Xenopus tropicalis: one gene and its partner. The protein of the gene in region 1 interacts with the protein of each later gene in a pairwise test. Links are inferred from orthologs where the notes say so. Each region holds a gene or a part of one and is shown in the gene's direction. Other genes may lie near its edges.

The links. The genes of interacting proteins can lie anywhere in the genome.
Region 2: the proteins of pias2 (region 1) and tsr2 interact in binary tests that used the Homo sapiens proteins (3 or more experiments, as listed by UniProt). The two-hybrid records come from large-scale screens. The link is inferred for Xenopus tropicalis from reciprocal best matches to the Homo sapiens genes PIAS2 and TSR2.

Annotation. Positions count from the first base shown.
Region 1 is NC_030677.2:206,564,446-206,568,509, forward strand, and holds the start of pias2 (E3 SUMO-protein ligase PIAS2), read left to right. Parts: upstream 1-1,264; 5' UTR 1,265-1,348; coding exon 1,349-1,372; intron 1,373-4,064. UniProt on the Homo sapiens protein: Functions as an E3-type small ubiquitin-like modifier (SUMO) ligase, stabilizing the interaction between UBE2I and the substrate, and as a SUMO-tethering factor.
Region 2 is NC_030684.2:25,372,952-25,377,204, forward strand, and holds the start of tsr2 (pre-rRNA-processing protein TSR2 homolog), read left to right. Parts: upstream 1-1,453; 5' UTR 1,454-1,666; coding exon of another isoform or gene 1,667-1,697; coding exon 1,698-1,778; intron 1,779-1,871; coding exon 1,872-1,962; intron 1,963-4,253. UniProt on the Homo sapiens protein: May be involved in 20S pre-rRNA processing.

The DNA of each region.
Region 1 (4,064 bases):
AGGCCAAAAAAGTAGAATGGGAGAAAAATGTGCAAAATAAAGCTTTAAAACATATCTGAGGAATTATGGAGTTGGTCTTAAAGGAACAGTAACACCAAAAAATGAAAGTGTATAAAAGTAATTACAATATAATGTACTGTTGCCCTGCATTGCTACAACTGGTGTGTTTGCCTCAGAAAGACTACTATAGTTTATATAAGTAATCTGCTGTGTAGCCATGGGGGCAGCCATTCAAAGGAGAAAAGGCACAGGTTACTTAGCAGATAACAGATAAACCCACATTATATGGGGCTTATCTACTAGTTATCTGCTATGTAACCTGTGCCTTTTCTCCTTTTTTCCAGCTTGAATGGCTGCCCCCATGGCTACACAGCAGCTTATTTATATAGTAGCTTTTGTGTAGCAAAAAACACCAGTTTTTTGCAGAGCAACAGCACATTAAATTACTTTAAAACACTTACATTTTTTGATGTTACTACTGTGGCCATACACGTAGCAATTCCGATCTTTAAAGATCGTTCCCAGAAACAATAGAAATTCTACCTCCACCTGGCAATTCAGCCCTGAATGTAGATTTTGCTTGAACCTGGGCAATCGACCGATATCCGCAGCCTTCTGTGATATCGGCCGCCTCTTCGAGCCGCCATACACGCACCGAATAGCGTATGAAACGAGGTTTCGTATGATAATACTGGTGCGCGTATGGCCAGCTTTAGACCCAGTGGCAGAACTAAGAGTATTTGGGCACCGGTGCAACCCCACCATATCACCAGGGCCTTGGCCCCCATTCCTGCTTTCAGCCTAGTATTACTTTGGGATTTATGGGACGCTGGAATTTCTGGCCACATGGAAGCAGACCTTATCTGGTGGAACCTCACAGTGGAGATGAACCTTCACCCCTTTATTTATGTCACTATTGTGGGGGCGGGGAGGTTTATACAAATTCAGGGGAGGGGGGAGAATAGGATATTTCCATCAGGGGTGGCAACCAAACTATAATCTGTGTGTAGTGACACATATCAGTGTGTGGTGACACATATCAGTGTGTGGTGACACATATTATCTGTGTGGATTTATCAGTCACCTGTTACCTATTCATGCCTGTATCTATCTGACAACTATGTAACAGTCTCTGTATCTATCCCTCTGTGCCTCCATAACCCATTCATGAGCAGCCCCCGCACATGGACGGACCCTCATTCCCGCGCTTCCCCGTTTTCCCTCAGAGATCTCCTGCACACGCTTTGCGCGCCCCCGATGGCTCCTCCCATAAACTGACCATCCCCCCACCTCTCCCGTTCCCTTCCCCCACTCTAGCCCGCTGGCCGCAGGATGGTGCCTGGAGAAGATGGCGGACACCGAGGAGCTGCGGGTGAGGAGAGCAAGGGGGGGGGGGCAGGTGGCTGTCAGTGTGAGAGGAGGCAGAGGGAAGGGGATAAACAGGGACTGTAGCTGGCACAGACTAAATGAGTGCTGCCATTATGCATCATGTGTGTCCCCTCCCTGGGCACTGAGCCTTGGCATGGGCTTGGCACACTGTCTCCCAGCCTCTAGCATATAGACATGCACTGAGGCATGCTGGGTAATAGAGCCAAGAGGAGAGCCAAGGGTGGGAATGGCACAGTTACACTGTGACAGTGAGGCATGCTGGGTAATATAGCCAAGAGGAGAGCCAAGGGTGGGAATGGCGCAGTTACACTATGACAGTGAGGCATGCTGGGTAATATAGCCAAGAGAAAGCCAAGGGTGGGAATGGCACAGTTACACTGTGACAGTGAGGCATGCTGGGTAATATAGCCAAGAGAAAGCCAAGGGTGGGAATGGCACAGTTACACTGTGACAGTGAGGCATGCTGGGTAATATAGCCAAGAGGAGAGCCAAGGGTGGGAATGGCGCAGTTACACTGTGACAGTGAGGCATGCTGGGTAATATAGCCAAGAGGAGAGCCAAGGGTGGGAATGGCGCAGTTACACTGTGACAGTGAGGCATGCTGGGTAATATAGCCAAGAGGAGAGCCAAGGGTGGGAATGGCACAGTTACACTGTGACAGTGAGGCATGCTGGGTAATAGAGCCAAGAGGAGAGCCAAGGGTGGGAATGGCACAGTTACACTGTGACAGTGAGGCATGCTGGGTAATAGAGCCAAGAGGAGAGCCAAGGGTGGGAATGGCACAGTTACACTGTGACAGTGAGGCATGCTGGGTAATATAGCCAAGAGGAGAGCCAAGGGTGGGAATGGCGCAGTTACACTATGACAGTGAGGCATGCTGGGTAATATAGCCAAGAGAAAGCCAAGGGTGGGAATGGCACAGTTACACTGTGACAGTGAGGCATGCTGGGTAATATAGCCAAGAGAAAGCCAAGGGTGGGAATGGCACAGTTACACTGTGACAGTGAGGCATGCTGGGTAATATAGCCAAGAGGAGAGCCAAGGGTGGGAATGGCGCAGTTACACTGTGACAGTGAGGCATGCTGGGTAATATAGCCAAGAGGAGAGCCAAGGGTGGGAATGGCGCAGTTACACTGTGACAGTGAGGCATGCTGGGTAATATAGCCAAGAGGAGAGCCAAGGGTGGGAATGGCACAGTTACACTGTGACAGTGAGGCATGCTGGGTAATATAGCCAAGAGGAGAGCCAAGGGTGGGAATGGCACAGTTACACTGTGACAGTGAGGCATGCTGGGTAATAGAGCCAAGAGGAGAGCCAAGGGTGGGAATGGCACAGTTACACTGTGACAGTGAGGCATGCTGGGTAATATAGCCAAGAGGAGAGCCAAGGGTGGGAATGGCACAGTTACACTGTGACAGTGAGGCATGCTGGGTAATAGAGCCAAGAGGAGAGCCAAGGGTGGGAATGGCACAGTTACACTGTGACAGTGAGGCATGCTGGGTAATATAGCCAAGAGAAAGCCAAGGGTGGGAATGGCACAGTTACACTGTGACAGTGAGGCATGCTGGGTAATATAGCCAAGAGAAAGCCAAGGGTGGGAATGGCACAGTTACACTGTGACAGTGAGGCATGCTGGGTAATATAGCCAAGAGAAAGCCAAGGGTGGGAATGGCGCAGTTACACTGTGACAGTGAGGCATGCTGGGTAATATAGCCAAGAGAAAGCCAAGGGTGGGAATGGCACAGTTACACTGTGACAGTGAGGCATGCTGGGTAATATAGCCAAGAGGAGAGCCAAGGGTGGGAATGGCACAGTTACACTGTGACAGTGAGGCATGCTGGGTAATATAGCCAAGAGAAAGCCAAGGGTGGGAATGGCGCAGTTACACTGTGACAGTGAGGCATGCTGGGTAATATAGCCAAGAGAAAGCCAAGGGTGGGAATGGCACAGTTACACTGTGACAGTGAGGCATGCTGGGTAATATAGCCAAGAGGAGAGCCAAGGGTGGGAATGGCGCAGTTACACTGTGACAGTGAGGCATGCTGGGTAATAGAGCCAAGAGGAGAGCCAAGGGTGGGAATGGCACAGTTACACTGTGACAGTGAGGCATGCTGGGTAATATAGCCAAGAGGAGAGCCAAGGGTGGGAATGGCACAGTTACACTGTGACAGTGAGGCATGCTGGGTAATAGAGCCAAGAGGAGAGCCAAGGGTGGGAATGGCACAGTTACACTGTGACAGTGAGGCATGCTGGGTAATATAGCCAAGAGGAGAGCCAAGGGTGGGAATGGCACAGTTACACTGTGACAGTGAGGCATGCTGGGTAATAGAGCCAAGAGGAGAGCCAAGGGTGGGAATGGCACAGTTACACTGTGACAGTGAGGCATGCTGGGTAATATAGCCAAGAGAAAGCCAAGGGTGGGAATGGCACAGTTACACTGTGACAGTGAGGCATGCTGGGTAATATAGCCAAGAGGAGAGCCAAGGGTGGGAATGGCACAGTTACACTGTGACAGTGAGGCATGCTGGGTAATATAGCCAAGAGGAGAGCCAAGGGTGGGAATGGCGCAGTTACACTATGACAGTGAGGCATGCTGGGTAATATAGCCAAGAGGAGAGCCAAGGGTGGGAATGGCACAGTTACACTGTGACAGTGAGGCATGCTGGGTAATATAG
Region 2 (4,253 bases), on another chromosome or scaffold:
GCCTTCTCTCTATACTTGTATTTATATGTAGGAGTTGCTATATTGTTTTCCTTAGGTCATTCAGTATGAGGGTATAGCACATTTTCGTCTGCACCCGCCATTTCATCTATATAAAAGGGGTATTTTTTTTAAATGGGGTGTGGTAATTGGGGCGTGGCCACAAAAGGGGGCGTGATCAAAAAATTTTGCCGCGCTGCGCACGCCAAATCTTTTTGTCCCTCTTTTCATTTTTCAAATGTTGGGAGGTATGCTCTATATGTTTAGCTCCATGTCCATCATAAGACCAACTGCAGCTGCCTGTGCCCACCACCGATTTTTCCTGACAGGAATAATGGTGTGGTGGCACAGAAAAAGGCAAAAGCATCAGCTGAGCATGCTCTTTGGCATGCTGGAGTACCGTGTGATACTCCAGTGCTGTGCAAATGTAACTTAGTGTGCCAGGCACTGTTCCCACAATGGATTTTTCACTAGTGACATAGAAGAGCATGCTTGCAATGGGGGTAATACTATGTATTACTGTGCAACACTTGCCTATGATGTGGATGCAGTGGTGTAATAATGCTGCTCTGGGCCCCCCTGCAAAGAAACCTGCAGGGGACCTGGCATGGACCTCCCTTCAAGCGCTCAGCCAAACACACCAGATAGGTAAGCTAGTAGCTCGGGAGGGGAATTTTTTAGAGCTGCAGAGGTAGCAGACCCCACAGTCTGCCCCCCTCTCGTGACTGAAGGGTTTGCTTCCTCTATAGTTATGCCAGTATGCGTGCTTAACTGCACTGTAACAGAGTGTGGTGCATCAGGCAAAACTTAATGTGAATACTATATGATTATTGAAATTACTCATTATTAGGGCCTCACTGCAAATCCAGGGCCTGCTTCCTCTGTAGCACAGGCACTGCTGTAAGATGCCATAGACAGGCCCGGATTTGTGGCGAGGCCACAAAGGCCCGGGCCTAGGGCGGCACATACACAGGGGTGGCATGCCGCCCCGCTGCAAGCAAATTTTAACATTTTGCTCCCATACGGAGGAATGGGGAATGCGCAAGTTAGGCGCATTTGCATTTTTGCGGCGGGGGTGGGGGGGGCGTCGAATGGGGGCGGCCTTGGGGCGCCCCAAGTAGAAATCCGGCCCTGGCCATAGACAGTCACTAATTATTGGGCTGTTGTGGGCTGTTTGGGCCTCTGTGTACTCTGTCCCTCATTTCCCTTTGATCTCCTGCACTGAATGCTAAAAAAAGATACAATTACAATCAAAATTGTAATAACACAATAAACCAAGACCCCCCCAAACATGTGTTAAAATTTTAAATAACCTGCCAAATTTTGTAAATGGGAGTGATATTTTAGGGATGTGGTCACAAAAATGGGAGTGGTCAGAAAGTTTCCACCACAGCATTTCTTTTTTTTTTCAAGTGTTTAACATTTTTCCAATTTGTGTGTCCCCCTTCTACTTCCTACTGTGCCCCTCTGATACTAGCAGGGACCCCTTGGGCCCTACAGCCTTGCCATACGGAGCAGCAGTTACTAAGCTGATTAATAGCTGCCATTCCCCTATAGTGCGCATGTATGACTATGCCTGTCTCCATGGAGACGCTCCTGTGATCCGCTCTGCGCTGATGGCTGCGGCATTCTCTATCGATGTGATCGGCGCCTCCTCCTTTGGGCCTGAATGACGCGGTTGCTGCTGGGAGAGAGGTGTCATGGCGGCGCGCTGCGTAGATTCACGTGTGCTGTTCGGCGAAGCTGTCAGGGCTGTTCTGGGCAGCTGGCCGGTGCTGCAGGTGATTTGCTGCATTCAATGAACATTTTATATACGGGTATTAGTAAGCAAGCGAGTCTGTGCCTGTACATTACTTGCAAATGTCGTTTCATAGATCGCGGTGGAGAATGGATTTGGTGGGCCTCACAGCCAGGAGAAGGCGGAGTGGATGGTTGGAGCAATTGACCAGTATTTTAACTCTAATGGTACGTGAAAGGTGATCATTTATGGGCTTTTAACTAATGAACTAGTGAAGGGATGTGTAGAATGGGGGGTTGGGGGCCCCACCACAGGTTTTATTGAGGTTTGAGCATGTATGTATGTATGTTTGTATGTATGTATGTCTTTATTTATAAAGCGCTACTTATGTACGCAGCACTGTACAGTAGAATACATTAATACAAACAGGGGGTTATAAAGATAATAATAGATAAATACAAAGTACAACAATAAATACAGATAGATACAGATAAATACAGCTGCAATAAGTTAAGAGTCGAGGACACAAGAGGAAGGAGGTCCCTGCCCCGTAGAGCTTACAATCTATATGGGAGGGTAACTAACAGACACAAATAGGATGTGAGATACTCGTACTAACAGCGAATACTCTCGCTATTTATAGATTGATAGTTAAAGGGTAAATATAATACTTATTTGCCTTTCTAAGTTCGTCTTTAATTTACTGCTCTACATGCCCTGTTGTGCGCCTTGGTATTGGTGGCTTTTCTCTTTTTATTATCAGCTATTTGCAAGTTGCCTAAATGTTTGCCATGAAATGACAAATAAACACTAAATAATGACTAGAAATGCTTTGTTGCATCTACTGAACTTCTGGGCTAGGCCAGAGACTCGGCAGCCCTGTGATATTAATTACCCATGGTTTTATGTTTATACCATAGAAATATGCATCTTACGGTTTTGTTGGGCCTTATTTTGAGTGTCAGTGACATTGCACATGCTCAGTGAGCACTGGGCAGCTGTAGAGAAGCAAAGCTTAGGGGTCGAGAGAAGTCATTCTATGCAGTGTGCACTGGTTTCTAGGCTGCCATGTAATGTGAACCTGCACTAAATAATCTGCTTGTATTATGAATTGTATATTGTGTGTATACACACACACACTGCAGCGAGTCAGCAGAAAAGAAGAATGGGAGCTATTGGGGGCATCTTTGGGCAGATATAGAAGCTCAAGACATGGGGTCTAACATTTATAGCTTTAAAATTTGTTGAGCTTTTTTTCTCCTTTAGACTGCTGACTGATGTTTATATTTAGCTCACAACTCTATATAGAATACAGCTTTAAAGGACATGTAAACCCCACACACAAAAATGTAATCAGTGAACAGCCTCTTTGAAATCTTTCAATTCCTGCCACACTGGTTGTCCAGAGGTTAATAGTAAGGCTGCAACCCCCTTAATCACTTAGATTTGCTTCTCCTCCTGTAACCCACTCAGCCCCCTCCCTCAGGAATTTGCTTTGGCTGTTGGCTTGTGGGCATGCTCAGTTGTTCTAAGCTCAGATTACTTGCTGAGCAAGGACAGCATCAATGATCCCACATGGTCCTCTCCCAATAGGATACTCTAAGCTGCCAGCTATCTGATGGGAGTTATGTGCACGTAAGCTGATGGCTTGGCCTTTGCCAAATCTCATAAAACTAATGCAGCACCCTCAGGTTTCATAAATCTGCCTTTGTTTCCACAGTTGTGATTGTGCCTGTGTTAAAGGGATATTCACCTTAACATTAATGGGTTTTGTTTTTTTTTTTTGGTTGATCTCCACTCCCCTCCATGTAGCTGCACTCAGGCCAAACCTGTGACTGTTAGTGGAGTGCCTACAAAATGCAGGCTGAGACAAGCCAGGTGTGACTTTGGCCATATAGAGATTATACAGTGGTGTGAAAAACTATTTGCCCCCTTCCTGATTTCTTCTTCTTTTGCATGTTTGTCACACAAAATGTTTCTGATCATCAAACACATTTAACTATTAGTCAAAGATAACACAAGTAAACACAAAATGCAGTTTTTAAATGAGGGTTTTTATTATTTAGGGAGAAAAAAAATCCAAACCTACATGGCCATGTGTGAAAAAGTAATTGCCCCCTGAACTTAATAACTGGTTGGGCCACCCTTAGCAGCAATAACTGCAATCAAGCGTTTGCGATAACTTGCAACGAGTCTTTTACAGCGCTCTGGAGGAATTTTGGCCCACTCATCTTTGCAGAATTGTTGTAATTCAGCTTTATTTGAGGGTTTTCTAGCATGAACCGCCTTTTTAAGGTCATGCCACAACATCTCAATAGGATTCAGGTCAGGACTTTGACTAGGCCACTCCAAAGTCTTCATTTTGTTTTTCTTCAGCCATTCAGAGGTGGATTTGCTGGTGTGTTTTGGGTCATTGTCCTGCTGCAGCACCCAAGATCGCTTCAGCTTGAGTTGACGAACAGATGGCCGGACATTCTCCTTCAGGATTTTTTGGTAGACAGTAGAATTCATGGTTCCA